4 linked regions of the Arabidopsis thaliana genome follow. The protein of the gene in region 3 interacts with the protein of the main gene of each other region in a pairwise test. Each region holds a gene or a part of one and is shown on either strand. Other genes may lie near its edges.

Region 1 (8,206 bases), on a different chromosome or scaffold from region 3:
CTGATTTGGAATTTCTTTGACTAATCCTATATTTCCCTATAATAGCATAGATTATATAGTCTACAGACAAGAATTATCTGACTACTGTACTGCCTAGTAGCTTTATGGGGAGAGCTACAAAGATGATAGAAAAATCATGGGCACAGATTAGACAAACTTTCAATGAAAATAAGTAATGGCCATACAGTCAAGAATCCGCTAAAGCTGTATTGCATTGTTGGTATGGTATTAATCCCCATTTCGAGATCATTGATATAAGGTCCATTTGTGTCCATGATCGACTTGACATTTGGGAATCCTGCGAATGCCCATGTGTGGTTCAAGCGGATGCTATAATCAAACAAATGAGGTCCTTGTTCATGGAATACCACTGCTCCTTTTATTTTTGGATTCGAACAATTCCTAAGCAAACATGATGAGGCTTAATCAGTTTTAACATTTAAAAAAAAAAAAAAAACGAAAAAGCATAGACAGCTAGTTATAACTTTGATGATAGTACTAGTGAAGATAAAATGCAGACACACTGGGCATGTGAAGCCAAAATATCTCCCTGTTTCCAACATAGAAAAGATACCAGTCTTGTTCAGGTAGTATAATCATCAAAGTTGTAGCAAATTTGTAACAACTAACCCAAGGAGATACTGCCATTATTCAAGAAATGCTAACCAATTCACAGAATAAACAGAGAGATGTACAAGAAAAAGTTTGAAGGCGACAAGAAACTAGGGATGAAATTGCCTTCTTATTAGCTGGAAAAAAGAACAAAACATACCTCACTTCGCTACAGACACCATAATGCGCAGATGTTATATAAGTTTCCAGCTCTATGTCATCTTTAAAAATTTTAGTAACTAGCTGCAAACAGAAGACACAGGGTCGATTAAACGTGTGACATATGAAGAGTAACTATCGATCTAGAATGCAGCATAAGATGAAGACGTGATGATGATTACCCGCAGTTCCGGAAACTTAAGAGACAAAATGTCGATCATGTTATTAGTTTCATCAGTGTCAGGTGCAAAAGCTAAAAAATCCCCCTCAGCAAGCAAAAGCTTCAAAACTTCTGGAAAACTAGGAGAGTTGCCTTTGCCCACTTCGACGACTGTATCTTTGTCTATGTTCCTTTCATGATCAACAGAACAAAATGCAGAAAACGAAATCAAAATCCAATTTTAGTACGAGAGAGAGAGAGGCTAGTGACGAGTGTAAAAAACTGATATCTTACGAGTGAGCCGGGTGAATTGTGGTGTCAACCCGTGTCCTGACGGCTATCAACAGCAACATTACAATAGTCGGAAGCAAAATCTGCCAATGAATAAGAGAAAGAAGCAAAATTTGATCAACAATTCGAAATTTTAAAAACAAAAATTGCATTCAGCATCAAGGAGAAGAAGACCCATTAAGACGAGCAGTGAATAAGCATGAAAACGACATAGTTTTGAGGAGCAAAGAAAAAGAGAGAAACCTCAGCTGAAGTAACGAAGGGATGACGAGTTTTGAGGAGCCAATTCTTGCGGAGCATGGCCTTGAATTGCCTCTTCGATGAACCCATTTTTCCTTGGAACCCAGAAAGAACCCTAGACGATAGATTCTAGTCTTGGCTTCAATAAGAAATCATACTTTTATGGTTCTTCTTTGGGAAAAGGCAAAGCAAAGTAGCAAACTAAGAAAGCAGAGAGAGGTGGCGAAGACTTGGGCTCACCTCACTGACATTTGTGCTTCCTTTTTTTTTTTTTTTTTTTTCCTGCCAATTTATTTGATTCATTAATCAATTTGATTATACAATCAAACAAAAGAATTTTGCAACTAGCTGCGGATAACACAAGTGGTCGACAAAAATAGAAGAATTCCGAAACTGTTTCATTTATTTACGGGACCTTTCTTCTTCTATCAAAAAACCCAAAAAATAAGGAGAAGATTAGATTAGTTGTCGTGATATTAAGAAGGTAATCTTATATTAAACCAAAAAAAAAGAAGAAGATAATCTTATAATTAATATATATAAGTACTTAAGTACAGTTGCTGATGTTGACCCAAATATAAATCTTTGCGTCAATGCCAAGTAGGGGTGGCTCTCTCACGGGCTCCACATTAAAAGCCTAGTGTAGTGTACGTGGAACATCCTGATTCGTTTTAGAGTTGCGTTACGCCAATTATATTACGACGAAAACGACGACGTTCCTAAGTTTGACGGCAAAGTATACGAATGTTTTTATTATTTTTCCGAAGGTTGCCAATAAAAGCCGCCATTAGAATTATTCCTTTCATTGCCACTCCCCAACTTGATTCTTATTTTTATTTTTATCAGTTGTGACACAACTTTAAAGAAATCCACCTTCATATTCAATCCTCAAAAATGCTGTTTTTTTTTAACACAGAAAAAAAACAATTTTTAGTAAAATTATATCAAATGTAGAATCAAAATGACACTATTTTCTTCAACTAAAAACAATGAAACTTTTTTTTTAATACCATTAACTTTTAATAATTTATCTGGATTTTTTCAAAATATATGATCAAATTTCAAGTAACATCTAAATATATGTTAAAGATGATTTTGTTTGGGCTGTCGTTTCCAAGGATATTTTTGTTATCCGCCAGAGACAAAAAAAATCTGTTATGAGAAGCGGGGCTACTGGGCCAGCTCTTTGTGGCCCATAATTTAGAAATATTTTAAAACTTATGTATTGTTTTTGTTTTTTTTAGGGTGCGATTTTCCCGACTAAACCAACTCTACTTGTCTGTACATGTGTGTTCGACTAAACAAAGTTACAATCGTCTTCTGCTTTGTTGTTCGTCCATCTTCTACAATCGAACCTACTTCCCTTAACATCCAATAAACCAGAGAATAAATTGATGGTTTTCGATTGTCTCCTGTTAGCTCGATTTCTCCGCCGGCGACTTTTGGGATCAAATTTGATTCTTCACGATTAAGATTGAATTCGCCATTAGGTAAAGCTGCTGAATTTTAAATGTCTAGCTCAAAATCCAAACCCAAAACAGGTCCCAATCTAAGAAAAGTATTCATTCGTCTTTGCCACCTGTACAACTTTTTAAGATTTTCGTTTTTTTCTCTATTGGTGAACAAGTGATTATTTTAGTCTACCTTTTTTTCGATTTCCACTAACTAAAACGCAAGTAAATTTTTATCTTTTGTTTTAAGGGATAGTGGAGGACAAAATCTTGAAAACTGTTTTTGGATCCCTTCACCAGGTCATTCTTATTCTGCTTCTGTAGAAAGTAATAAACTAAAGTCATAATCTATCATGAATATGTGAACTTTTTTGAATTTGTTGTCTTAGTATCAAAAAGCTATGGTTTTGAAGATTACAGCTAAACTTTTCAAACAGTGTCTTTAATAAGCATTAGGAATTTCTCGAATGTTTACTTGCCACATTGTTCGATTATCTCTTGTCTCTTTTTGCACATTCCTTCATGTCTTCTTTCTTGTGTGTGTGGCTGTGGCTTAAAATATGTGCAGGTGGAGCATCATTTAAGAATCTTATGCTTTGGCTACAACGCCTATGGATACGGGTCAAAGCAGCATAGAACCTTATCAAGCCAAGTCTTTTAGTCGGGAGAGCAGTGTAGCCTCTTCTTTAAGCTTATCACGTAGTTTGCCTCACCTAATTGACAATGACGTCGATAGTGAGAGTGTCTCAGAGGCAGGGGATATTGGGGACCGCTCACTTCGGAGAAGGCATAGTGCTGGTAGAAGCAGCCGTTTGTCTGCTGATGATTTTATAGAACAAGGGACTCATGATACTTCTCGTCAAGAACAAGATATATTACATGACCTTCGAGCTTTCAACACTGCTTCCGTAAATAAAACTTTGCCTGAGGACATAACAGCATCTCCTTTACCGACCAAGTCACTCTTGTCACCTGAAATAAACAACTCCGTAGAGACTACCTCTAACTTTGCATAGTCACATCATTGTTAGTATTGGTTTCTTTGTCCAATGTTTTGATCTATTGTAGCTCGTGGGTTGCACAGGGAAAGGAGGAAGAGCGAGTGTTACCAAAGTCCTTGGAGTACATATCATGCCTAATTCATTTGGCTGTTTTTGGGATTTTTGGGGTAAAATGCTTATTTTCCATTTTCTGTCTGTCTCTCTGTTGTGCTTTGTTTTTGTTTAAATCATTATAATCAACTCGTTGACTCCAAATATACAGGCCATTACGAGATATTTGCTGCAAAAATTGTTTGGGCCAACTGGTGCTCGAGTAACAAGTGATGGGAGCATCTTGTACCTTGATCTTCCCTCCAACATGGTGAAAGTCGCAATGCACTCATCTCAAACTTAATTACAAACCTATCTTTCTTAATAAAAATTCTCCAAATGCTTCCTTATAGGTAGGATCATTCTTGATGGGTTGGTTTGGCGTTGTATTCAAAGCAGATATAGCAAGAGTTTCTGAATTTGTGGCGATAGGATTATCGACTGGTTATTTGGGGAGTCTGACAACATTCAGCGGTTGGAACCAGAAAATGCTGGATCTTAGTGCTGATGGTCAATGGGTGTATGCTGTGCTTGGCTTTTTATTAGGTAAAAACAAAAAATTCCCTTCTCAATCTCCAATCACCTACTAAATTGGATGAAACATACTTGCTTACAGCATAAACGACTTTACAGGATTGTTTCTCACGTCATACTCCATAATTCTGGGAGTGGAAACGGCCAAAGGGTTTAAATGGCTTCTTCATAGAAGAGCTTCTTCTGAGGATAAATTCCATTGTCTTAAGGTTAACACCTTCCAGAGCCATATTGTGTCTCTGACCCTGATGCTTCTGTTGCTTGTGGCTTTACTCACTGCCAGTTCCATACTGCTTGTGAAAGAGTTTGACAAAGGAACAAGCGAGGCTCAGCTATGGTTTGGTTGCTTAGTTGCAGCCCCTGGTGTCTGGCTCAGATGGTTCTTAGCCCGACTCAATGGACGTGGGCTGGGAAAGGATAGTCAAAATTTGAGATGGGTCCCATTTGGCACCCTCATTGCAAATGTAGTTGCAGCTTGCGTTATGGCAGCATTGGCTACCTTGAAGAAATCGGTATAAACTTCCTCACCTCCTCTCTCTACCAAACAGATCAAATCACAAAAGATAACATTCATTGTATATATTTTGGGAAACAGGTGAACACGAGAACATGTAACACGGTTGCTTCGAGCATACAGTTTGGTCTGTTGGGATGTCTGAGCACAGTTTCGACCTTCATGGCTGAGTTCAATGCGATGAGAGAAAGTGATTACCCATGGAGAGCCTATGCGTATGCATCTTTTACCATTGTGGTTTCTTTTGCGATTGGAACTATTATATACTCAGTCCCTGTCTGGGTAATAGGATTCAGTTAGTTGTATCAAAGCTAGATAAGTCTTGTGCAGATGATGTGATAATACATAGTCGTAACATTTGGTAGAGATGAATAATTAGATCGGTCACAATCAAATTATATTATACCTTGTGCAGAAATATTAAGAGCAAACTTCTATACTATAATGATAACTTTTTTCTGTTTTACACAAAATATCATGATTCTATATTCCACACTGGAAAAAAAAAAACACAACCACTAACAAAACCTGTACATTCCTGCTTCAGACCATTGTCACACTTTTCCCAACTTTTTCTCCATAAAAGAGACAAAGAGATGTCAAGTCGACGAATTCATCTCAAAAAAGGAGAATCTGACATACATAAAGTCTAAAGGGAACGGCTCATTTCTCTTGTGGGAGGTAGCTGTACGTGGAACAGCTGGTCTCTGTCTTTGTCACCTGCAGAAGAAAGAGAGCCAAAGAAAATGACATAAGGAAGATGTGTTGTAGTAACCTCTGAAGTCTCTGGTTCTATAGATATATGACTACGAACCTCTGAAGTAAGAGAGGATCCTGAAGGAAGAAATGGTGTCCAGAGAATAGGGTCTGCAAGAGGATCCAATGTATTGTAGTTGGTGAGCAATGGAGCCGTTAAGAGAGAGGTAAGTGGGTACATGCTTTTCTGAAGAGACAAAGCAGCAGCACCGCCTAAAGCAACTCCATGACTCACAACTGGTTTCTCTATTGCCTTGCCGTTATTCTTCTCCATATTGATGATGTTACGGTTTGCATTCTCATCGTTTTCATTATTGCAGCTTTCTTGGATCTTCAACACTTTCTCCTCTAGGCTCTTGAAGGCAGGCGACTGAGACAAGATGCTTAAAGCAGAAGAGCTTGATGGTGATGATATTTCTTTTTCTTTTCTCTGAGTTCCACAAAGGACGCCAAGGTTTGGCGCCTTGTATGGTTCTGTTGCATGGGATGTGTGTTCCAGTGTTTTAAGCTCAGTACCAGCATCTTCGACGTTTGCATCCTCTGATGCTTTTGATGAAGATTCTGGTTGACGGTTCTTGTTGGCTCCCCACCACTTTATGTATCCTGTTAGATCAATCTTTCTTTCCAGACAAAAGCTACCTAGAAAGTCACCTTCTGTTCCACGATCATCACCTGCCCCTGTTAATAATGACAATGAGTTTTGAATAGTCTGATGCAAGCAAACATTTGTTTCAATTAGGTCAATATTGTTAGCAACTCACCGTAATGAATGTTACTGAAGTATTCAGGTCCAGGCATACGACTGGCTGATGCGTCCCATCGGCTGGTCGGGAAGTGCAGAATAGATGGAAAGACAGCAGAAATGCATATCAGGTATGAATGTTAATTGTGAGAAAGAAGGTTAAAAAGACAAAACTAAAGAGGGCTACAGCCAAAACAGTGAAGATAGTTTTGCCATATCCCTATTCTTAAGAGTAGCATATAGACTTTTCTATGAAATTAACTAGTAGCATATCCACCATATGTCAATTAATCAAAACCGTGATGATCCACAATGTGTCACTAAAGAATCTTCCTTATAGGCAATTACACAAAGATGATCACTCTTGATTCCATAGTTTTTCAGACAAAACAGAGAAATGAGAACTCAATTGCTGGTCCAGTTTTACCTTTGAAGTCCACGATATTTCGCTATTCCCCTAGAGAAACCGCTGCTTTTTCTGCCAAAGGGATATCTAAAGAGTATCAGCAATAAATGGTTCTTAAAAGAAAACTATAGTGCTTTTAAATACATACGCACCTACGTAAAGATGCAAGGTATTCTTCCCTTGAGAGATTTTGCATTTCTTCTAAATCCCTGGTATAATCAGTCACCTACGAGAATGAAATACGTAAATGCATGTAGCTAAAAACAGTGAAACTTGAGAAGGGTGGCTCCAAAACACTTCTAACCATCCTTACTCCACTTATGCATATATATTGACCATGAAAATTATTAAGGAAACCACACGGTTGAAGAGTAACTTAGAAAGCATACTACGGTAGCAATCTCACCGGAAAATTTATAAGTGTCCCAGGACCCCAATATTTTAAGGCAGCAAGGTCGTAAGCTCTAGCAGCAGCCTCTTCATCATCATATGCTCCTGTCAAGTAAGAGTTGGGTTCTTCAGTGAAAAATTATCCAATTTGATATACAAGAATATAATCAACACATATAAAGCTTTTAGCTTACCTAGATAAACTGGTGTGGCGAAATTCCGTCACCCATGAAAATATATAGGAAACAGAAAAGATCAGCTTTGATACTCCAAACAAGAGAAAACTTATTGCAAATGACAACAGCAATTTTATCAGATGCAGAGAGAAAAAAAAAAGAAGAAGAGGAACCTTGTTTTCCCTTCTTGTTCTGGTTTTGGTTCCAGGTACTCTTATCCCAAAGGTGAGCTTCATAACGACCTGTCCATCTATGTCTGTACTCAACACAAATACGACAAACAAAACGCATCAACATCTCCAACTGCTATGGAACAAAAACCTCATACAGATGCTAAGCACACCTACTCATTTCTTCTAGTTTGAGCCTAGACACTATAAAATCTGACATTAGGTGAAAATTAGTGTGTTTTAGAACAGTTTACAGATTCCAGATAATTTAGCTCCACACAAGATCCCTAACCAAAGTGCATATCCACCAATCCAAACATTCCATACTCTAATACAGATAACACAACTCCCAATTCACAACCAAACCTATACTCCAATCTCCTCCGCATCATAAACCGACAATCCCGATTTGAAAAGTCACAGTACCTGGTGACTCCCCGGTATATGGAACTCCTTTTCCCAGCAGTGCACGGAGGCATTTTACTAATACGCTCCTTAGCTGTACAACCTCTCT
Region 2 (8,212 bases), on a different chromosome or scaffold from region 3:
ACATCTATGAGGCTGTTCTCTCCTTCTTCTTTCTTGATCCCACCTGTTTTCATCAATCATCAAGAGTAAAATAATTAGTCTTCTTCAACTTCATATTCTCTGTTTTAAAGAAAGCATTAAAAGCACAAAAGCTTACTAGAAGGACCCATCGTCTGGAATTTTCGAGGTTTACGCATCTCTAAGCCATTCTGCTCGTAGATGTTGACATGAAAGACCATATTTCCTCTGTGAGTGAAGGTAATGAACTCGTTTTGTCCTAAAGCATTGTCACTCACAAACAGATCCCATCCACGCGTCTCAATGTAGTAGTATGTCGGGTTCTTGGAGACTTCTACATCCCATGTCTTTCCCCATTGCGCTCTTATAACCATCTTGTAAGAGAAGTCTTTCTCAGAGACTTTGCTTATGAAGCTGTAAGGAAGCGCTCTCTGGTTGGAACAAACAATGAAGAGTGTTAAAAACACCAGAGAAACAACAGATTCAACGTTTCAAAGACAGAGAACGTGAAGATTCAGAATTTAAACTTTTATTAAACAAAGACAACCAAAAGATTCTACCTTCTAGCCAAAGCTGAAAGATCTAACTTTTCAAATACAGAGAACCTAACATTCAACCGTTGAGACCCATAAAAACCCAGAGAAAGAACAGATTCAACGTTTCAAACATATAGAACGTAAAGAGTCAGAGATTAACCTTTTATTAAACAAAGACAACCAAAAGACTCTACCATTTAAACAAAGATTATAAGATTTAACTTTTAAAACACAGAGAACTCAAAGATTAAACTGTTAAGAGTCTTGAGAGCAGAGAAACAACAGATTCAACGTTTCAAAGTCAGAGAACGTAAATATTCAGAGATTTAACAGATTCAACCTTTCATTAAACAAAGACAGCCAAAAGCTAACAAGATCTAACTTTTTTTATTTTTTTTACAAGATCTAACTTTTAAAACACACAGAACCTAAAGATTCAACCCTCGAGAAGCTGAGACCCTTAAAACACCAGGGAAACAACAGATTCAACGTTTCAAAGACAGAGAACGTAAAAGATTCAGAGGAAAAACAGTTGCAATCTTTAAAACAAAGAGAACCAAAAGATGAATAAGCCGTAGACTTGAAACCCATTCAACAAAAAGAAGAAAAAGATTCCCACTTTTCAAACAAAGATATCAAGAACAACGTTACCATGCAGTCAGAGGATAGATCTGCCCTCTGAAAAATCTTGAAAAAGCTCAACATCTGCCGTTCTTCTTTAATCCGATCAAAAACTATGTTACTACTCTTACCCATCTCTCTCTCTCTTCCTTCTTCTATCTCACTCAGAACCTCCTCTCCTTCAAGTTTCTTTAGTATAACTCTCTCTCGCCCTATCCCTATATCTCTCTCTCTGGTGTTATAAATGGGCAAAAGTGAGTATCCAAATATGTATGCTTCTTTTCATTAAAAACGAGTCAAGGTTATAATAGTGGAAAAAGCAGTCACGTTCCCATAAATCAAAGTGTTTTTTTATTTTATAGTAATAGGCAGATGAAACAATTGCTGTTAAAAATCTGACTTCAAAGACACGCAAAAGCAGTGTTTGCTAGTTTTAGTACCTGAGGATCCCTGAGCAATAAGGACTGATAGACTTTTAACTTAGCTTCTTTTGCCACCATCCCTTCTTTTTTAAAAAAATATTATTTTCATTACGATCAACTTCATTTATTAATTTGAACCTTCGGTAACTTTTTCTCTTTTTAACGTTATATGGCAGTCAAAGGTCAAAGTTGATAACCTTTTCTAAACTGAAAAGTAAAAAAATAAGGTACAAGATGAGATCACACCAAACTAATGTGTGCAGAAGATACCCCAAAACTAATATGTTTCTGTAATTTATAATGAAAATACACACAAATATATAAACCACACGACTCACTACATGTGTGTTCATATACATACATATATGATCAAATTGTTAAACTTGACCATGAAATCTATTGATTTAAAAATTTGGATACATTTTAGACATCATGTACTCAAAACGGGAAATAGTTATGAACATAGTGGAGGTAATCAACAATTCTATTAACAAAGCATCAATGTATTGATAAAACGGTCGTCAGTGTTCAATTCCAAAATACATATTGTTAACTTGGTCACAAGCTATAATCCAATCTATCAACTAAGTTGCAAGACAATGTCACACAGAAATTATTTACGCCATTATGCACTTTAATTATATTTATAAAATATTAAACAACACAACCCCATTTCTTAAACGCAGCATTGACTTTCATCAGAGTTCAAGACTGATCATCCATAAACCCAGTACTGTAACCATTTGATTTTATGAACTTCTTCAGAAGAAGAACCATGATAGCGATTGTGAGCCCAACCGCCGCCCACGTGAAGAGTCTGTCATCGACTGGCTTCTGAGCCGCTCTTCTGGCCATCCTTTGCTCACCACTTACAGAAGCTTTGACCACAACTTCAACCGCTGGTAAAGGTGCTGCAGCGGGAACCACACTAGCTGCTGTATTGACTGCTTCAGCTGTCTCTTCTATGATTTGATCATCAACTATGGTGTCTGTTGTAGCGATGGACCGCTCTTCTACTACAGTTATCGCTTCCTGTGGCTCAACTTGGGAGTGAGCTTCTGATACGATGGAAGGTGCTTGGCTACATTCCAGAGGAAGAGGTTTTGGAACCACGGTTGCTTTGCTAAGGATGTACTGATGAATCTGCGCTTGTTAAAAGGTCATGGTTACTAAAAGTTTTTTCCAAAATTGAAGATGAATCAGAGGTATGAAACTAAAGTCATAACAAAAATCATGAAGAAAGGGACGAGAGTTTAGACCAAAAGGAGATTGTTAACACTACTATTGTCTTTTTTTTTATATTTGTGCAACTGACTACTTTTTAAAAACGACAATAATCAGTAAAATGGTGTGTTAGGACTTGAGCAGCAAATTTTACTGTATGGAGAGAATAATAACAGCTGTGATTGCAGTTAAAACAAAGCAGATACTCTTAGAGCAAACATTAAATCATAACCGCTAGAGATATGCAAGCCTAATATATAATATATTGCGATCCCGTTTTGACCACCAGCTAGTCCTATGGTTTATAATGATGCAATGCAATGGTATGGCACATACTCTACAGGTTCAGCAAGCATCTAGCTAAATTCATATATTTTCATCAGGATATTATGCATAGTGGTTCAACACCCAAGGGTATTCTAGTGGGGAACTATACCTCATCAATAATTTTTTGCCGTTCAGGAGAGCCATACTTAGGTGGTGTCTCACGTGATTTAATGGCTAGTGTACGTCTCTCATCCTTTGGATAATCTACTGAGCCCAGTGCTCCATTGGGACTTGTGGGCATAAATGCAATGAGAGCCACCAAAGCAGTCCGAACTGAAAAGAAACAAAGCTCAATCATAATACAAAAGAGCTGATATAGTTCAACCTCATGTAAATTACAAGTGTCTGAGTAATCTTTTAGGAAACAACATAAAAGTCAAGAGATAAGGTCTCTTGAGATCCATGACTTTACCACTCCATGAAGGTTGCCAATGCTCAGGGTGGTAGTTTGAAATGCTCAAGCAAATCTTGGTGTTAGTTTCAAAGCGCCCGTTAGGCTGAAACAAAAGTACAGAGATTCTTTAGATACATACTCTCTTATGGAACTTGCAACATCTGTGTGTTTTTATATATGAAATAAGAGTAAGATCCTTACGGTCAATAACATGAATGAAGGAGGTTTGAATGGATAATCTGCAGGCAACTGAATTCTCCCATGATAAATCCCGCCCTCGAATTCAGTATCACCAGGACCTCGGATGGCGAATTGCCACTCAAAGATATTCTCCTGAAGTTAAAAGATAGATAAGAGTAATCATGTAAACTATTTGGTATCACACAAGAACTTGTAAAAAACAGCTATAACATCGCGCGCAATCTATTTGGACCATGACATGTTGGAAAAAGTCTTCACAGTTAAAAAAATTAGAAACGAAGAACTAGTATGACAGCTGAGTGGATCAAGGAATCGTTCGTAATCTTCCCCACTTGACTCAGTTATTCCAATAAAAACACAAAAATCCAAACTTTATCTGTTGCACGAGTGTTGAAAGTAGAGAGACTTAGTAAATTCAGTGTATACAAGAAGATATATCGATCCTCCCTAATCATGATCGCCTAAAATCAAACACCATCACTCAGAACAGATACACAATTACAACACAACACAACATAACACAACAACATAAGACAAGGGGATTTTCTCAAAAAAGGAAATTTCAAATATAGATTCGAATCAAAATTCCCGATCTAAAAAGCTAGAATCGGAGATGTTACCTCAAGAGGAAGAGACATAAAATCATCAGACGGATTAGCTTGCATCTCCTTAACCTCCTGCAAAATCCTCTTCACCGCCGGATTCTTCCGATTATACCTCTCATCCGCCATCTTATTTATCCCCACGAGATCTTGCCGGAAGTGCAATCCGCCGCCGGAGTTCTCTCTGTCCGATTCGTCTTAACAGAAAATAATAAATACACAAAATTAGAATTACCACATGGCTTCGGGAGATGAGCTAATTAGTACGGTGATATAATACAAACACACAAAATTAATTCCAAAACATTTTCCACGTCACACTCTTTAACGACGGATACGTGACGTGAGAGAGCTTCTGAGTAAGTGCCACGTAATTAATAAACTTTAGTCATCCAAACATCTCAACGGTTCAGAAACTGTCACGTAATCTGAGAAATTTAAGCGCCTCTTTACAGCCGTCGATTTGGGAGAATCATTAAGCTATCGTGGCGAGACTTTAATAGGCCTTGGCCCATTAATTTAAAGCCCAATGAAACGTGCACGTCACAGACAACAGAAAATCAAAGCGTTGACAGTGAATCGGTGAAGAAGAAGAGTCTTGAGTCTTGAGTCTTGAGAGAAAGGAAGAAGAAGCAATTTCAATGGAGAAGAGAGGGGTGATCGACACATGGATTGATAAGCACCGTTCGATCTATACGGCGGCTACACGTCATGCTTTTGTCGTCTCGATCCGTGACGGATCCGTTGATCTCTCGTCCTTCAGAACTTGGCTGGTACTGTAATTAGTAATTACTGATGAAAACAAGGCAAAATATGAAATCTCACTCGATGACTTTTAAACGACGTTGTTTCCTTGTAGGGGCAAGATTATCTGTTCGTGAGGAGGTTTGTGCCGTTTGTAGCGAGTGTGTTGATCAGAGCTTGCAAAGATTCCGGCGAGAGTTCCGATATGGAAGTGGTGCTTGGTGGTATAGCATCGTTGAATGATGAAATAGAATGGTTTAAAAGAGAAGGATCGAAATGGGATGTTGATTTCTCGACCGTTGTGCCTCAAAGAGCTAATCAAGAATATGGCAGGTTATTGATTTCATATATGCTGATTGAATAGATTTCTCACACTCGAAAATGAAATTAGGAACCAGCAAATAAACCGGAGTTTCTGGTTAATTCAGGTTTTTGGAAGATCTGATGAGCAGTGAGGTGAAGTATCCGGTGATTATGACAGCTTTCTGGGCAATTGAAGCAGTGTATCAAGAGAGCTTTGCTCATTGTTTAGAAGACGGGAACAAAACTCCGGTGGAGCTTACCGGTGCTTGTCATCGTTGGGGGAATGACGGGTTTAAACAGTATTGTTCGTCTGTCAAGAACATTGCCGAACGTTGTCTGGAGAATGCCTCCGGTGAGGTGCTCGGTGAAGCTGAAGATGTACTTGTACGAGTTCTTGAACTAGAGGTTGCCTTCTGGGAGATGAGCCGTGGAGGACAGTAGCTAATGTTTGGGTTTGAATTTCTCATTTCCTCTAAATGCCAAAGAGAAACAAGTTCCAATCTTTATGTTTGGTGAAACACAAGTTGAGATTATGGTTTCATAACAGATTACATGAATACGGATTTGTCTCTGACTGGGGCAGAAGGTTGTTCCCGTCATTCCACATATTACACTTACTGGTAACTACATCAACTCCTAAAACTCTTAAGAACTCACCAATTGAAACCGAAAAGCTCTTTATTCTCTCCAGCGATGACCACAATTCGGGTTGCAACAGACAAAGAACAGTGTCATTCCTTCTTCACCTCTAGCCGTAGCCTGCACATTCAATGATAGCTACATTAAATCCTCAAGCGGTGTACAGAATTTGAGCATAATGTTTTGGGGAAGCAAACAGTGAAGATACAGCATAACCAAGTAGTTAAATAAATAATGGAGCTTAAGAGAGTTATACCTGGAAGAAAACGGCCTCCCTATGCTGACACTTAGAGCAACGCACAGCCTTGGTTCGGGGAAGAGTAGGGTCAGAAGCCACGTCTGTTAAGATCTGAGTTCGCTCACTTACAGAGTGATGAACCTCGTTTCTGTACACACAGCTGTTATCAGCTACCTCCTGCAAGTCAGTGCCACAAAAAGTATAAATTCTGAGATGAGGACAACAAACCCATTTACATGATCTAATCTAATCTGTCAATTTGTAACAACAAGATTGATAATGCAGCTTAAAAAATTGCAAATAACTACTCAGTTTGTGTAAATCAATAAGCTAAAAGAGGCCCTTCAAGTATTCATATAGATCTCATAAACACAACACTAGAAAGATAAACCATAAGAACTTGCTAAGCCTTAATTGAAGGAGTTAGTAAATAGAGAGGTTGGTAAAACTAAGGAAACTAGGAGCATTAAAAGAGAGATAAAAGCAGGAAACAGTTTCATTAAAGTCTCTTAATTGCAATGAAACTAAGTCCCACTCGCAATTTTGTGCACTACATTGAACACTAAAAACCCTTTTTCCACACAAAAAAAAGGTACAAAATGACCAAAAGCTATACCTGGTGATCACAATTACGGCAAGCATAGAGGAGGATCTTCTGTTCTTTGTCCTCCTTAGGATACAGAATGTTATTACTGAACCAAAATCAAACAGAAACAACAATGCAATTAAGAAAGGACCCAAAAACAAAATTCGAAAAAAGGTACTCACTTTTAGCGAATTGTCACCTTATCAACCATAGATGGTTCAACCACGGAAGAAATACATCAAAAGTAAACAACAAAAACTAAAAAATTCATGCAAATTTCGAAACTTTGAAAAAACCTAGACGAGCAGAGAGGTGCAATTCCAGAAACTAGGAACAGAATTAGCATAAGAGAGCTCTTACCATTCGCGGCAAAATTTCATAGTACTCATCTTAGCTGAATCTCTTGAGAGAGAATTAGGTTCCAAAACCAAAACTGAATCACTGTCTCAGAGAAATCTGGCGGGCTCGTTTTGTTTATTAGGAGAAAAATAATGCGATCGTCGTTCTAAATAACAGAGTCGCGTGATCGATCTTCGGATCGGACGTAGTTTCACGGGTTTTCTCGGGCTTTTGAAAATGTTATTGGGCTTTTATAAAGCTTATTGGGCTTAACACCATAGTTGACTACATATACATCAACCATGACATTTAAGTTTTTATTTGACCACATATGAAGAACAAAAAACATGTTACGGAAATGTAATAAACTGGTAACACAGTATATATCGAGTGAAAGAGTCATTCATCCATATACAATAATTTCATATTGCAACAAAAAAAAAAAAATGGGATCTCTAGTAGAACTTGTGGCTTTCTTAGTGACTATGTGTGTTAGTGTAACAATATCTCGAGGCCAAAAGGATAGCATCCCTCCAACTCCAACATCCGGTTTCGACAACCCAAGAACAACAGTGGTGATATACAATGATCTTGGGGGTCATCTGCCATTGAGATACCATTGTAAATCAAAAAATGATGATCTTGGAGACCGGAATATGGCGGTAAATGGAACTTGGTCATTTGAATTTAGACCGAGTGTTTTTGGAGGAACTTTGTTTTTTTGCGGTTTTATATGGGATAAGGAGTTGCATTGGTTCGATATCTACAAACAGAGTAGAGACAGAGAATTCGCCGAGTTTGGATGTAGAAGATGCGAATGGAAGATACGCAAAGATGGACCTTGCAAATTGAACAAGAACAGTAATATGTTTGATGTTTGTCTTCCTTGGAATTCTCAATCGCTTTAAAAATAATTAGCATGTATGTCTACTTCTATTTTTCTAATAAAAATAAAAATTAGTATTTCATGTTTAGATGAAAATACTGTTAGTTAAGAGGTACGGTTATTTAACTGACTCAAGACCAATTATATAATCGT
Region 3 (8,402 bases):
GTATTGAGCGAATGGTAATGTAATCTGCTTCTGAATCTCTTGTTTCCATGTTTATTTGTCTCATGTTGTGGTTGCTTTGTAGGGTGAACGTGATGGAATCTGGGTGTGGCACCGAATAAATCGTTTATTCAATTGGCTACCTCTTGCTGCATCGATTGAGAAGAAAATTATCTGTATGCATGGGGGTATTGGTCGTTCTATAAATCATGTGGAGCAGATAGAAAATATTCAACGTCCAATTACAATGGAAGCTGGCTCCATTGTTCTTATGGATTTATTATGGTTAGTCCTTAGCTTCTATATGTTGGTCTGCTTAATGTTTTGGTCGAGTCTTACTAATTTGTTAATTTGGATTTGTTAGGTCGGATCCAACTGAAAATGACAGTGTCGAAGGTTTAAGGCCCAATGCTAGAGGCCCTGGATTGGTTACTTTTGGGGTAAGTAATTTTCTTGTGTTTTAATTTTATGTTGTCTGAATTTCGTTTTTCCTCCCTTCAGAAAACCAATAATCTCTTTCTTTTCTCACAATATTTATTCTGTGCAATGAGGTGCTGCTATTGTTAGACCAAGAATATATGATATTTTTTTCTTGAAACCAAGGAATATAGTCTAGTTTGCTCCCAATAATTTACCATATGAAGAAGTGTTAATTGCTTTTGCTTTTCATTTTTACCTGTTCTGTTACTCACCAAAACTTGGCAATTGTAGCCTGACCGTGTCATGGAGTTCTGCAACAACAACGATCTTCAGTTGATTGTACGAGCACACGAATGCGTAATGGATGGATTTGAGCGTTTTGCTCAGGGGCATTTGATAACGCTCTTTTCTGCTACAAACTATTGTGGTATGTACATGGACTCACTAAGTGCCATAACCGGATTTTGATATTTTGATGGGGTTATTTCTGTTTTCTTAATAGTTTTTATACTAAATCTCAGGTACTGCAAACAATGCTGGGGCTATCTTGGTACTAGGGAGAGATCTTGTAGTGGTACCTAAGCTCATTCATCCGTTACCTCCAGCACTTTCATCGCCTGAAACTTCACCAGAAAGACATATAGAAGACACATGGATGCAGGTTCATATTGCTTCATTTCATTACTGAATCTTAGTCCATAGTTATTGACCTGAAACATTGGTACTTAGCGTAGTATGCACTTTTCGCAGGAGCTGAACGCAAATAGGCCAGCGACGCCAACCCGAGGACGCCCACAAAATTCAAATGACCGAGGAGGTTCTCTGGCTTGGATGTGAGGCAGATAAAGAGGCACTCGTGCACATACATACCGCTCCAAAAAACACTTGTAACATCTGCCTCCTGGTGTTCCTCATGTGTACAGAAAAAGATGAGCCATAGACGAGAAACGATGAGGCTTGAAGATATCAGGGGGTGTGTAAATTAAGATGTTAAAAGGTTAGAGAAGTCAGTTTTGGTGGTGGTTTAGTAGTGATTTGTAGAGTTTATTTGTCCGGGCTTTAGTCCTCTCGTTCATTTTTATTCAGTCTGCTGTTTCTTCTTTTTTTTTATCATGTCATATCTTTCTTTTTTCCTCTTCAATTGTCTCCGTTGTTTTCGTTTGTGGTATAGTTTTTTGGCGAGTGGGTATGAATTCTTAGAATGGTAATGGTTGATTAGGTGGAGGATGGTCTGATGTCGTGGGGGGGGGGGGCTTTTGTGTATTTTAATTTTATTGTCAGTTCATACTTTGTAACATTTGTGTTGATTATATGATACGAAAAATTTTCCTGGCTCCTTTTGGTTGTCTAAGCTAGACCAAAAAAGAAGAGAAAAGAAAGAACTTATGCCCTTGAAAGCGACTTTGAGTTGGTTCATGGATCCTCGGGTGATGGACTCAGTCACTCGATTTGCTTGAGATTCATAAATTTATACATGTGCTTTGTGGCCTTCAAATGAAACACTGGTGATGTCGATATGATGTGATTTGGCATCGATGCTGTCATTGGCTCCAAAAAATCATGTTTTAGCGGTGAGAACAAAAAAAACAAAATTTTTGGAGGATCAGATGGTTGAAGTTAAAACTCGAGGGTATTAGATGGTTAAATTTTAATATTGTTTTGGATATAGGATGGTGATTAAAAAAAAAAAGTTTTGATTAGTGTTGGTGCAGGAATTAGCATCTCCGATAATACCAATTTAAACCAAGGAATAACGTGAATAAAATCGAGAATTCGATTGAACCGGGGTATCCCGGCTAGTCTGTTAATGGGCCTAAGTCATGAGCTCGCCAGAAGATTTAGGTCGACAGTCAAGATCGCCATAGGCGGCTTCTCAGGTCGTGTAAAGGGAAAACTTCCATTTAAGAGAAGAGGATCTCATGAAGAATAGAAGTAATGAAGATTTAGACCTAAGATAATTAGAAGTTTATCATATTTTGGTATGTTGGACCCATTGTATAAATAGGGGGGGGGGGTCAAGCCCTCTAAGAGGATCATGACCAACCTAAGACAAGAGACTACTATTACAGAGCAAACTCTAGCTTTTTATTCAAGCAACTTTGTTCTTCTCCTTTGATTATTCGTGAGCTAAGAGAGAAGTGAATTTGTCTAAATCCCTTAGTACAAATTAATTGTTTGATTAGAGAATCAACAATTAGTTTTGAACCTGATGATGTATTGGTCAAACTTGTAATCATCGCATCTGAGTTTGAGGTCATTTTTTCCAACTGTTGTTATACATATAAAATATCCAAAGAATAAAAGCCTTGTACGATCGGGGTATTGGGGTCCGTACCAACTTGTTGACATTTTTTATGTTTTTGGTGTGTGGCAGACTAGATTGAAACAATAATGACTAAGCAACTCAGTAAGAGTCCTTTTTTTGGACTCAGTAAAAGAGTCCAAGTTTTCTTTGAACAACAAAATTTTGTTGAGGTGTGTATGCACTTGGTTGGGAACAAACAAGTAGATGGCAAAGATCATTCGAACATTGGAGCCCAAGTGTTGAGGGCACTAATCTTGTCGATTACAGAAACGAAATTATTTGGGGAAGCTGCAAGAAAAAGTTTAGTTAAATCTTTTATATTCCTTAATCAAAATGTATCATGCATACACTATATACAATTCACTAAAGTATGATAGTTAAATACCTAATTAATATCATGATCAACTCCTACCGGTTCATCTAACTAATCCAGCTCAGCATAAAAACCCTCACGCGTCGCTCCAATTAAGGGGAGGGCTTAACTAGTGCCCAACTTACTGGGCTAGGTTCGACTCCGTTTTTTTATTACATTTTCCTTTTCCATTTCTTTAAGACTTTAACCCTGAAATCTCGAAGTGCAACGCACCACTAATTTTTTATAAATATTAACATAACATTTCATGAGTCCTAAACAAGAGTCTCTCTTGGTCTTTATAAATACATCGATCCATGTACATAAAAACAACAAGTCATCTTTTCTTTCTATCTGAAAGTAATCAGAGAATCAGAAAACACTTGAGAGAGCTGAGTGACCATCAAAAGGTGTTATGGAGAAAGTGAGAGAGATAGTGAGAGAAGGGATTAGAGTAGGGAATGAAGACCCGAGAAGAATTATTCATGCTTTCAAAGTGGGACTTGCTCTTGTTTTGGTCTCTTCCTTCTATTATTACCAACCTTTCGGTCCTTTCACCGATTACTTCGGTATCAATGCAATGTGGGCTGTCATGACCGTCGTTGTTGTCTTTGAATTCTCCGTAGGTTCGTCATCTAGTTTCTATCATTTGAATATGTCTAGTAGATATATCTAGGGAGAATGCAAGAATTTTTGTTGTAAACTTTTGGCCATAATATTAAATAACTTTGGTTTGATGTGTACTTAGGGGCTACACTTGGGAAAGGACTAAATAGAGGAGTGGCAACATTAGTAGCAGGAGGACTAGGAATTGGAGCTCATCAACTAGCAAGATTGTCGGGTGCAACAGTGGAACCTATTCTTTTGGTCATGTTGGTCTTTGTGCAAGGTAAACCCTTATAACACTCTTTACATTTTCAGATTACCATGCGTTTCCAAGCGTTTGGTCAATCATTGTTTGGCTAAAGACTAGATCAAAGAAGATTGGGCAATGAGTAATTAGTATTGTGATATATGTGCAGCTGCGTTGTCGACGTTCGTAAGGTTTTTCCCATGGGTAAAGACAAAGTTCGATTATGGGATATTGATATTCATATTGACGTTCGCGCTGATATCGTTGTCGGGGTTTAGAGACGAAGAGATAATGGATTTGGCAGAAAGCAGACTATCGACAGTGGTGATTGGAGGAGTCAGTTGCATCCTTATCTCTATCTTTGTCTGTCCTGTTTGGGCTGGACAAGATCTACATTCTCTCCTTGCCTCTAACTTTGACACTCTCTCCCACTTCCTTCAAGGTTTTTTATTTCTTTCTCTTTTTCTTTTCCTCATTATGTCTCTACAAGAACATAAATATATACATATACGAGATAGTGAATGTGAAATTGGCAGATTTTGGGGACGAATATTTTGAAGCGAGAGAGAAGGGGGACTACAAAGTAGTGGAGAAGAGGAAAAAGAATCTTGAGAGATATAAAAGTGTTCTTGACTCCAAAAGCGATGAAGAAGCTTTGGTGGGCTACTCTCTCTCTTTCTTTCCCTACTTGCTTCACAATTATGAAATCATTTGGATTGATTTTGTTTTGATATTTTGCGTTTAGGCTAATTACGCAGAATGGGAACCGCCTCATGGACAATTTAGGTTTAGGCATCCATGGAAACAATATGTTGCCGTTGGTGCATTACTCCGGCAGTGTGCCTACAGGATTGATGCCTTGAATTCATACATCAACTCAGATTTTCAGGTAATCGCTAACTTTTTGTTAGGTGTTTGCATATTTAATTAAAACAAAATTTGAAAATACATAAAAGAAGAAAAACTAATATGCTATTATGCTATAACTATTTTTGATCTAATACAATATATATATCTATATATATATATATATATATATTTACATGTCGCAAATGCAAACACAAAAATAACATCAGGTTGAAATTCTTAGTCTGTTAATTTGTTTATATAGTTTTTTTTTTTAGTGTAAACATGTATAGTAGTATATGTTTCTGGTTAACGTGTTTCTAACCCTTTGTTTATTTCTTATTTTTTCTATTAGATCCCAGTGGACATAAAAAAGAAATTAGAAACACCATTAAGAAGAATGAGCTCGGAATCGGGAAACTCAATGAAAGAAATGTCCATTTCACTAAAACAAATGATAAAATCATCTTCTTCTGATATCCATGTCTCAAACTCACAAGCTGCATGCAAATCTCTTTCTACTTTACTTAAATCAGGCATCTTGAACGATGTTGAGCCTCTTCAAATGATCTCATTGATGACGACTGTCTCCATGCTCATAGATATTGTTAACTTAACCGAAAAGATCTCGGAATCTGTACACGAGCTTGCATCCGCTGCAAGATTTAAGAACAAGATGAGGCCGACCGTGCTATACGAGAAGTCGGATTCCGGAAGCATTGGTCGTGCCATGCCAATAGATTCTCATGAAGATCATCATGTTGTCACAGTTTTACATGACGTTGATAATGATAGATCAAACAATGTTGATGATTCACGTGGAGGGAGTTCACAGGACTCATGTCATCATGTTGCCATAAAGATTGTTGATGATAACTCAAACCATGAAAAACATGAAGATGGTGAAATACATGTACATACATTAAGTAATGGGCATCTTCAGTAAGTAATTCAACTCATTATTTGAGGAGCAGTCTTTTGTACCCGCAAGATTATAGAGACGAGACCATCGGTATATAACATATTCGGGTATTTCATTCAGATTTGAAGTTTGTTACAAATACTATTGTCGCCTTTGATCATTTTTGAACTATTGGTCACACATTTAATAAAGTCTTGGTCTTCGTTTTCCTTTGCGTTACTCTTTTAAAGATTTTTATATCCAACTGATCAAAAAATTTAAAAATAGCATGGTTTTATTTTTGGATTATGGTGTTTTAGAGAGCTAACCTCAGTAAATAAAAGAACATAGACCGGCGCCAGATAAAGACAAGTCCGGCAAAAACTCTAGATTGTTATTTTCTATGAATATAATTAATTTTATTCCAAACATATATCGTATGAAAAAAAAAATCATTTATCATTGGAGGAGGCGGTGATCAGGCGCAGTGAGAGGAGGAGTCGGTTAACAAAAGTGGTCTTGGCCAGTGCCAAAGCGTCATTGTAATCGCTTTCAATTCTCAAAACCAATACGGTAATATGCACAACTAATAGAATGTTTCAGGTGACAAATTTTCTCACTAAAGTCAAACTTTCATACTTGCCGATGAAGTAACAAACATACAGTACGTTCAATACATTAAGGATATATATAAGAAACAAAAGCTGGAAATTGTGTGAATTTAGCTAGGTTAGATTATAGTATAATAAAGTTGCCTTGTACGATTGGGGTAATGGCTAATGGATTCCGTACGTTGATGCCAACTTGGTATTGGCAAGGCTGAGTGTGACTCGGTGCAAAAAGCACCAGCTGCTATCTAATTCCGCGTTCTAACCAATACTACATTTTCATTTATTATTACTTTTTACAATCCATAAATCTCTCTGCTGTGGAGGGTTGATATAAGATCCGAAACTTCTTTGTTGATAAAAAAAAATCTAACAATCTTCCAAGTTCAAATCTCACTCAGGAAATATGAATGACTGAATATTTAATTAGATATTATCGAAATTGTGATTCTTGTTGACAAAAAAAAACAAATCTCATAAGAAGTGGTGATGTCAGTTTTCGTTGAGAGAAAGAGAATTTAAGTGGATATGTTCAATATACAAAAAAAAAAAAAAAAAAAAAATTGGACAATTTGGTCGAATATTAATAAGGTAGGTCTAAATATTAGTGAAAGTAACATATGTGAATGCCCAAAACGGACGGATATTTTACTAGCTTTGAAACAAAGAAACGATGGGACAAAATGACAAATTGAATGTCTATTTATTTGGAGTTTGTCATGATTATTCATGTCAAAAACGCAAACTATTATTAATAGACTGTTTATTTTATTATTTTCTTACACTCGCCGAAAATGTTCAGAATCGGAAATAATTAGATGTAACGTTCCTGTAAAAAATGCATTGAGTTTTAATTTTATTTTATTTTCTTAAAGATAAAAAATTTCTGTTAAATGAAAAATGAAAGAGTTGTGAATTACGTTTTTTTTTTTAATATTGATTATAAATGTACAGCTAGCAACTTTAAAAATGGTTAGAAAACAAATGTTGGATAGCACTATTTTATTTTTACATAAAGAAAATCTTTTGGACGTGGAATTTTAATAGAAATTTCGGAAATAAATTAAGAGAACAATACTAAAGTATGCTACTAATAGCCGCTTTTAAATATCGGATAAATCAGCACCAAAGTAGAACTTGGTTACGTAAGTACTAGTCTCTGCCTCTAATTAAAAATACTCTGTCTCCAGTTAATTATATTTCTCATTTTCAATTTCTTTAACCCTCAACGTACGATATGAAGTACAACGCACCACTGATTTTTTTCTTAAAATAATAAAATAACATTTCACGAGTCCCGAACAGGACTCTCTAGTCTCATAATGCTCATTATAAATAACGACGATCCATCCGCTCAAAACAACAAGTCATCTTTCTACTTCTTCCTCTCTTTCTGAAACTTATCAGAAAGTTGAGTGATAATCAAAGGGTGTAATGGAGAAAGTGAGAGAGATTGTGAGAGAAGGGAGGAGAGTAGGTAAAGAAGATCCGAGAAGAGTAGTGCATGCTTTCAAAGTGGGACTTGCTCTTGCTTTGGTCTCTTCCTTCTATTATTATCAACCTCTCTACGACAACTTCGGTGTCAATGCAATGTGGGCTGTCATGACCGTCGTTGTTGTTTTTGAATTCTCTGTAGGTCAGTATTCGTCATGTGATCAGAATCAGCCACTTTCTACCATTTGAATATGTCTAATATTCAGCGATAAACATTTTGTAGATTTTTCTGTATAAATTTGGCTACAAAAGGTTGTTTAACTTTTGTTTGGTGTGTAATTAGGGGCCACACTTGGGAAAGGACTAAATAGAGCAGTGGCAACATTGGTAGCAGGAGGACTAGGGATTGGAGCTCATCACCTAGCAAGTTTGTCGGGTCCAACAGTAGAACCCATTCTTCTTGCCATCTTTGTCTTTGTCCTAGGTAACCCTCATAACACTCATATTTTTTTATTTTTTTTATATGAAATTTTGATGATTTGGTCCATATAACCTTTTCGGACGGGGGCTAGAGCGAAGAGTCTAGAAAACATGCATATATGCATACATTTGTCTCGAATTAAAGAGCGAAGACTAACAATATATATATATATGCAGCTGCATTGTCGACGTTCGTGAGGTTCTTC
Region 4 (6,677 bases), on a different chromosome or scaffold from region 3:
GCAAAAGTGCTAGAAGAAGCTAGAGGACGTTGGGAGAAGTATGGCCTAAAAGTGATTGTTGACAGCGACCTCCATGAACAGACAACAAAAACCGAATCTACTTGGCTGAACGCAGGAAAGCAAAATCATGTAGAAGGAACCATGAAAAGAGCTGGAAATCTGATTGCTAAGCTGAAGAAGATGGCGAAAGATGTAGGAGAGAAATCCAGAGAAGTAATTTACTTGATCATAGAGAAGATAAGCCTTCTGATATCAGCCTTAAAACAACAAGTTCATGGCATGGAGAACAAAGCCAAAGACCTCAAAATCAAAACTAAGTCTAAAGCAGAGGAAGTGTGGAGACAAACGAGCTTGAGGGCTGATGAGATCAGAAATATCTCTATAGTGAAGGCTAAGGAGACTGTGGAAGAGTTTAAGGACAGAGTCGGTAAACTCGGCGAGAAATTCAAGTCGAAGTAGGTTTATGCGGTTTGGTTGAAGATTAAGATTTGTTAGATAAAGATGCAAAACAATGAACTGTCTTAAATTCCAAAACCGGAAAGCTATGAGCCCCAACTTAGATAGATGACTACACTGATTATATGATTGTGGTCTTCGCCAGTTTTTACTACTACCACCATTTAGTCTTTGAATCCATTCTACAAGCAATTGAAGAATAAATATGGTATTGGATCAACTTCAAATTTTGAAACATGATAGGAAATTAAGTTGAGTCTCACTAATTTTTCTTAATATCTGACCATATATTTAAAATTAGTTACCAAAACCTTGGCAGTAAATTTTTAGTTAGATATGATAAAAGATACTATTGTTTTGATTAAAAAAAGGTAGAGATGATGAGATTTCTATGTTGAATTCAAAACAATAAAATAAATATTAGCTAAGATATCACGAAGTGATAAAGATGAATCTTTGATTAAATCACATTAAAAGTTGAAAAACGATATCATAAGAGATTTTGTGTTCTCTATATGTAACGCTATCTGGCAACATTCTTTCTGCTTTCCAATAAGGTTCATGAAGAATGGGTAACACAATTTCGAATGCAACAACGTTATCATACGGTGAAACGACATGCTCAAATCCAACTTCTACGATTGCGAGCAGTTTCACGGAACATCCTCGCCTTCTTGCTATTCTGTCAAGATTGAGAATCTCGCACAACTTAACAATGAAAAATACCAATCTCGTCGTTTCACGGTAGGCGGGTATTACTGGTATGTAGCTATAATCTTGCTCTTATATATTACCATTTATGTTTTATGAGACATGTAACACATATAGACCATGATTTTACTATGTACACATTAGCTCCTGAAGGGTTAAATTAAATCTTCATCATAAGAAAAGAACATGAATCTTTCTTACTTTATGCAATAATATTTCTGTTAAAAAGAAAACCTGCAGGAAATTGATTATATATCCAAAAGGGAACGACGAGGACCATGGAAGTGGTTATATTTCAATGTACGTAGAAATAGACAGCACATCTGAAGTTTTTGCATATGTCAAGTTCTTCGTCTACAATAAGAAAGAACAAATGTACTTTACTATTCAAAGTTGTTGGTTTAAAACATATCTATATTATTCAATATTTATATTAACTATATAAGACTTGTTCATTTGTCACATATGTCACGTTGAATTACTCCATTTTTTCTAATAGATACTGAAGTAAAGCGTTTCAATGCTTTAAGAATGGTATGGGGATTCTCTCAAATGCTTCCTCTCCACTTATTCGAAAATCCAAAAAATGGATATATATTCGACGGGCAAAAATGCGAGTTTGGTGTTGAAGTGATGGTTGTTCCACCCCTTACCAATTGGGAAGTGATGTCTTTTGATCAGAAACTCTCACCATCCACATTCTCCTGGAGTGCCAATGGTTTCTCCTTATTGACAGAGAATCTTTATGTGTCAAACAACTTTTCAGTTGGAGGAAGAGAATGGTGAGGCTAATAAGTCATTGAATATATATACACGTCTATGTATGCTAAGTGTATACAAAATAATGTGACTTTTCTATAGGTGTTTGAAGATGTATCCAAAGGGAAGAGAGGCAGATGGCAAATGGTTGTCCTTATTTCTGCATATATATAGCTGATAGTGAAACCTTTTCGGAGGATGAGAAGATTTACGTGCATGCAGATCTCCGAGTATTATACCCACGTCCACATGTATACAACAATCACGTCACACAGAAACGTATAATTAACTTTGAAACACAATTTTCTATATTCTTGAATAAATCACTTAGTTGCTTTTTTCAAGTCTTAACTAAATTTTCAATACCTTACATATATTTATTTTTCTTGCAGTTAACGTCTGTTACAAGAAATCAACTCAAGGGTGGGGTTGCGAAGATTTTGCGGCTATAGCCATCGGGAGTGTAATTACTTGGACAATGACACTTTGACATTGGAGGTCGAATTTAAAGTTGTTTCTACAACCAAGTATTCTCACCCATGATCTAAGCTCTTCTTGTAGAATATCTACAATATTCCATATTCTACTACAAGTCTAGTAATCTACAATGCCTTGTTTCATACGATTTCTAGTAATTAGTTCCTTTTTAGTTAAATCAATTCTACAGTTTATGGTTCCGGATTCATTTCCTGCTAACTAATTATATCATTTTTTATAACTAGTAATCATTGAAGCTTATAATTGAAATCTATAACTACAAAGCCTAGTGCACTTACGTCCAGAAAGCCAAAATAATTAGGCTTCCTATTAACACATATATTTATATGTTTCTTAAGAACTTTTACGAAATTACCTGCATGTAGTTAAAATAATAAAATCTAAACTAATTGTGAGCACAACAATAATCCGCCACGTCTTCTAAACCTCTTCCATTCAAAACTCTTCACTATCCGCCACGTGTCCCCTTCTTCACACTCTTTTTATCTTCCTCCACCTCTAAAACTTTCTCACCACATTTTCCCGAGAAAACAAAAAAAAAAAACTTACACCAAAACGATGTCTGGAGGTGTCGGTCCAACGTACAACGACATAACCTTACCCAAAGAAGAAGAAGAAGAACATCAAACCCAATCCACCTCAACAGTATCATCCACCGGAAAACCCGCCGGATTCTTCTCATTCCGACAACTAAACATCCTCGCAATAATCATCGTTCTCTCCGCAAGTGGTCTCGTAACAATCCAAGATTTCATATTCACGATCCTCACTCTCATCTACTTCTTCTTCCTCTCGAAACTTATCTTCCCACCACACAACAATCCAAACCGTGACGCTCCTCTCACAAGCTCCACAAACAAAATCTTCCGTATCTATGTTACAGCGGCGGGGATCGTCGGGCTTATCATTCCGATCTGTTACATCTTCGAAGGAATCGTTGAGGATGATAAGAACGGTGTTAGCGCAGCTGCACCGCACGTGTTTCTTTTAGCGAGTCAGATTTTTATGGAAGGATTAGCGACCATGTTTGGCTTCTCTGCTCCGGCGAGGATTCTTGTTCCGATTGTTTACAACGCCAGGAGGGTTTTGACTCTTGTGGAGTGGATTATGAGTGAGTTCTCGAGGGAGGATGTGACGGGGACGGTTTCTGCGCGGCGGATGTATGCCGGGAAAGTTTTGGCGGCGGCTAATTTAGGGATTTGGTCGTTTAATCTCTTTGGTGTTTTGATTCCGGTTTATCTACCCAGAGCGTTTAAGAGGTATTACGGTTCTGATAAGGAGGATTGAAATCCCGGTTTAGTTCCGGTTCCAATAAGGAGAGTCAAAACCCGGTTTAATTCCTTTGTGGTTCACAGCTCTTGTTGTTTTCCCTTTTTGTTCTGTATATTATTTCGATGTTTTCTTTTGAACAATTCAGTTTATGTAGTAGTTCACAGTTGTATTAGATTTCTTACGATAATAACCGAATCTATGTTTCTGAAAGAACAGAAATGAAAATGTTTTAGTAATGATATAGAATAAGACCATTCACGATCTCAGTTCAAACAATATATTTGTATGAAACAGTAAAACAAGAAATAAACAATTTATATCAATGTAACAAGATTAGATGTAGGAGCTGATCCAAGAATATTCCAAAGTTTCCAACTACATGAGTACAGAAGTTAACTGCAAATCAAAGCTTTAAGCTTATTTATTCAGTGTGTATAAGTTGTTAGAACCCAAATCTCTTACCTTTTTTCACGATCCATGTTCAAGGTTTGTTACTTATAGGGTTTTATATCTCTGTCTTTGGTAATGAGGAAGAAGAAGAAGAGATGTCATTTTAATTTGGTTAGCTGACTCCAGATCGTAACCCCGGGAAGAAACTCCAGCTGTTTCCTGCAACCTTCTCGATATTCTCGTCTTTCGTGTTGTCGAATTTAAATTCTTTGCTAGATCCAATCGATGAGGAACTCAGCTTCTGAATTCTATGCTGTTCGTTCTCTCTGTCTCCTGACCTTTTCTCTATGTTTCTTCTTATGTCTGTTGATGAACTCTCCTCTGTTTCGATCCGGTCATTGTTGTTCATTCTGTCGTGTGATCGATTTAGCTTGCTTGCAAGACAACGTGCAACGTCTTCACCTGTTAACTCAAACGAAACTCTGTGATCTGCTACCATGACTTCAGAGCCATGATCCGAATTTGCCAGTGAAGCGACCTCAGAGATCTGATTTTGAAGAGGCCATGTGGTATTGTTGGGTGTTAAGTTTCCAGATACTATCTCTGGACCATTTGGTGTCAGAGCGCCTGAAGCCAAACCTGAACCATGCCCAACAGGTGTGATCGATCCAGAACCGAACCTCGATCCCCATTTACGAGCTGTAAAGTGCTCAAAACCCAAGAACTTTGGAGGCTCGCCTATTCGAAACTCAACCATGGGTGATTTACCAGGGTAAGGAGAAGATGTACCAGAGTTTGAAATCACTGACCCGGGAGAGATTAGATTACCACCACCAGGACTCCCCGGACACACCTGATTAGACCGAAACTCATAGTGCGAAGACGAAAACTTTTGATTCATCCCACTAGTACTATCCCTCCGAGTTAGCTCCAACGAAGAAGTAAGCAACTGAGCAAAGGGCACTTCAGGTGAAGAAGGTGTAGTTATATGGACTGATGATTCAGGAGGTGGAGTATACGGTGCAGTAGATGGCTCAGTTATAAACGCAGAGAACACCGGAGGAGTGACTGGTTGAGTTTCATTAGCATAAGGTCCAACGGTAAAGACAGATTGAGGCTCCTTAGGCGAGAATGTATTGCTAGTAAGAGAAAGTGGACCAACAGGCGAGTGAGAAACCGATGAAGGATCCGATTGCAAAAACGAAGCTGGAGATGAAGGAGGAGCTATAAAGGGAAGAACAACAGTAGTTGAAGTAGCTGAGTTTTGAACAGTAACTACCGGAACTCCAGATGTAACCGGTTCAGGTACAAGCACAGCATTACCAATCCTTTTATTGTTCTTCTGAGTTCCAAAACATGAATATAAACTCCAACATTTTCCCCATCTTCCCTTCTGTACAAATTAAACACACAAAATTAGACTCATCTTGATCCCCTTTAGAGAGAACTGTTTCAACAAAACTTTCTCAAAGTAAAAGCTTTTGATAATAAAGTTAATCTTGTTTAGTTTCTAATAAGTAGCTAAACGTTTGTAATTCACTTTTGGAGAAATTTATACTATCCGTGGAAAATTAACCAAACATGAAATAGAAACGCTTTTAACCTTTTTAATCATGGATGCTATTATGACTTGTAAAGCCAATCCACAAAAAGATTGAAAAAGCAACAACGCATCTTTTTACCTTTTTGAGACCACAATTGTAATCCAGAGAGAACAAATCAAAGTCGTGAAATCAAGAACTAAGCTCACCATTAGCTCTGATCTAGAATCGTAATCAAAATCAAAACACCAAAATCGCAAATTCAAATCACATTCACTACAGTTTCGTAACTATGAGCTAAATCAAAACAGCAAAATCGCGAAATTCAAAACTAAGAACAGATCAAATTTTCAGAGCAATCATTCAAACAAAAGCTATAAATCTCGGAATCACGATCTAAATCAAGCAAGTAACAATACTGATCTATGAGCAGAAGAAAAACACATTTCAATCACGGAAAATCTGGAAGAAGAAGCTTAGTAGTTTACCTGAGAAGAAGACGGCTGTACTCGAGACTCGGCGGTGACGATGGCGGTAGCGGCGGCGTTAACAGTCTCAACGCTGTTATTAACAACGTTCCTCATCTTTCGAACTCAGATTCACACCGACTACAATAACATCCAGATTTGCTTGCTTACTACTACTCAGAAACCACCACTTGGATCTACTACGCAGAGAGATTTTCCCGAGAAAATCAAATGAGAAAAGGATAAATAAATCAAATAAAAAGCGAAGAAGGTTTTGTATAATGATGGATCGAATTCTCTCTCTCTCTCTCTCACTCACACCGGTCGTTATCTAGTCCAGCTTTTCATTCAATTTCACCACGAGCTTTTGCCACGTCATCACATTTTAGATGGTTCATGGTTCCTTTCCTTCACACCACCACACGCGCTTCACTTAAAATAGTTATGCATCATTTGGGAGGGTAAATAACGGTTTGATCGGTTTGGTTCAATCCCTAGAAATGCAGATTCAATTTTTATCTACATACATAGTTACTAAAACTTGTTAAAGAAATTCTAATATATTGGTTGTGAACATATATTT

What was found.
Region 1: the proteins of ALMT1 (region 3) and AT2G41705 interact in a protein complementation assay, tested with the Arabidopsis thaliana proteins (one large-scale study listed by BioGRID).
Region 2: the proteins of ALMT1 (region 3) and UBC32 interact in a protein complementation assay, tested with the Arabidopsis thaliana proteins (one large-scale study listed by BioGRID).
Region 4: the proteins of ALMT1 (region 3) and AT5G52420 interact in a protein complementation assay, tested with the Arabidopsis thaliana proteins (one large-scale study listed by BioGRID).

What each region holds. Positions count from the first base shown.
Region 1 is NC_003071.7:17,394,559-17,402,764, forward strand, and holds AT2G41705 (camphor resistance CrcB family protein), read left to right. Parts: upstream 1-2,711; 5' UTR 2,712-2,952; exon of another isoform or gene 2,953-3,481; 5' UTR 3,482-3,524; coding exon 3,525-3,902; intron 3,903-3,997; coding exon 3,998-4,081; intron 4,082-4,176; coding exon 4,177-4,275; intron 4,276-4,357; coding exon 4,358-4,550; intron 4,551-4,637; coding exon 4,638-5,050; intron 5,051-5,133; coding exon 5,134-5,352; 3' UTR 5,353-5,523; downstream 5,524-8,206. Other genes in the region: ABCA1 (ATP-binding cassette A1), read right to left, coding at 186-402, 773-855, 954-1,122, 1,226-1,305, 1,466-1,552; AT2G41710 (Integrase-type DNA-binding superfamily protein), read right to left, coding at 5,702-6,486, 6,570-6,631, 6,978-7,028, 7,109-7,182, 7,363-7,451, 7,541-7,549, 7,696-7,778, 8,119-8,206.
Region 2 is NC_003074.8:5,793,537-5,801,748, reverse strand, and holds UBC32 (ubiquitin-conjugating enzyme 32), read right to left. Parts: upstream 4,820-8,212; 5' UTR 4,454-4,819; coding exon 4,343-4,453; intron 3,855-4,342; coding exon 3,723-3,854; intron 3,625-3,722; coding exon 3,540-3,624; intron 3,401-3,539; coding exon 3,237-3,400; intron 2,720-3,236; coding exon 2,282-2,719; 3' UTR 2,002-2,281; downstream 1-2,001. Other genes in the region: REM22 (AP2/B3-like transcriptional factor family protein), read right to left, coding at 1-43, 137-428, 1,185-1,289; AT3G16990 (heme oxygenase-like, multi-helical), read left to right, coding at 4,966-5,097, 5,184-5,401, 5,497-5,812; NRPB9A (RNA polymerases M/15 Kd subunit), read right to left, coding at 6,050-6,130, 6,267-6,425, 6,865-6,940, 7,195-7,223; AT3G16970 (Plant self-incompatibility protein S1 family), read left to right, coding at 7,659-8,081. UniProt on the Arabidopsis thaliana protein: Accepts the ubiquitin from the E1 complex and catalyzes its covalent attachment to other proteins.
Region 3 is NC_003070.9:2,655,311-2,663,712, forward strand, and holds ALMT1 (aluminum-activated malate transporter 1), read left to right. Parts: upstream 1-3,291; 5' UTR 3,292-3,489; coding exon 3,490-3,700; intron 3,701-3,822; coding exon 3,823-3,963; intron 3,964-4,096; coding exon 4,097-4,369; intron 4,370-4,463; coding exon 4,464-4,585; intron 4,586-4,672; coding exon 4,673-4,816; intron 4,817-5,128; coding exon 5,129-5,719; 3' UTR 5,720-6,000; downstream 6,001-8,402. Other genes in the region: BSL2 (BRI1 suppressor 1 (BSU1)-like 2), read left to right, coding at 1-14, 83-282, 362-437, 709-844, 939-1,078, 1,168-1,254; AT1G08440 (aluminum activated malate transporter family protein), read left to right, coding at 7,717-7,918, 8,060-8,200, 8,374-8,402. UniProt on the Arabidopsis thaliana protein: Malate transporter critical for aluminum tolerance. The STOP1 transcription factor is required for ALMT1 expression.
Region 4 is NC_003076.8:21,278,835-21,285,511, forward strand, and holds AT5G52420 (uncharacterized protein), read left to right. Parts: upstream 1-2,938; 5' UTR 2,939-2,982; coding exon 2,983-3,711; 3' UTR 3,712-3,972; downstream 3,973-6,677. Other genes in the region: AT5G52410 (oxidoreductase/transition metal ion-binding protein), read left to right, coding at 1-459; AT5G52430 (hydroxyproline-rich glycoprotein family protein), read right to left, coding at 4,259-5,479, 6,116-6,211.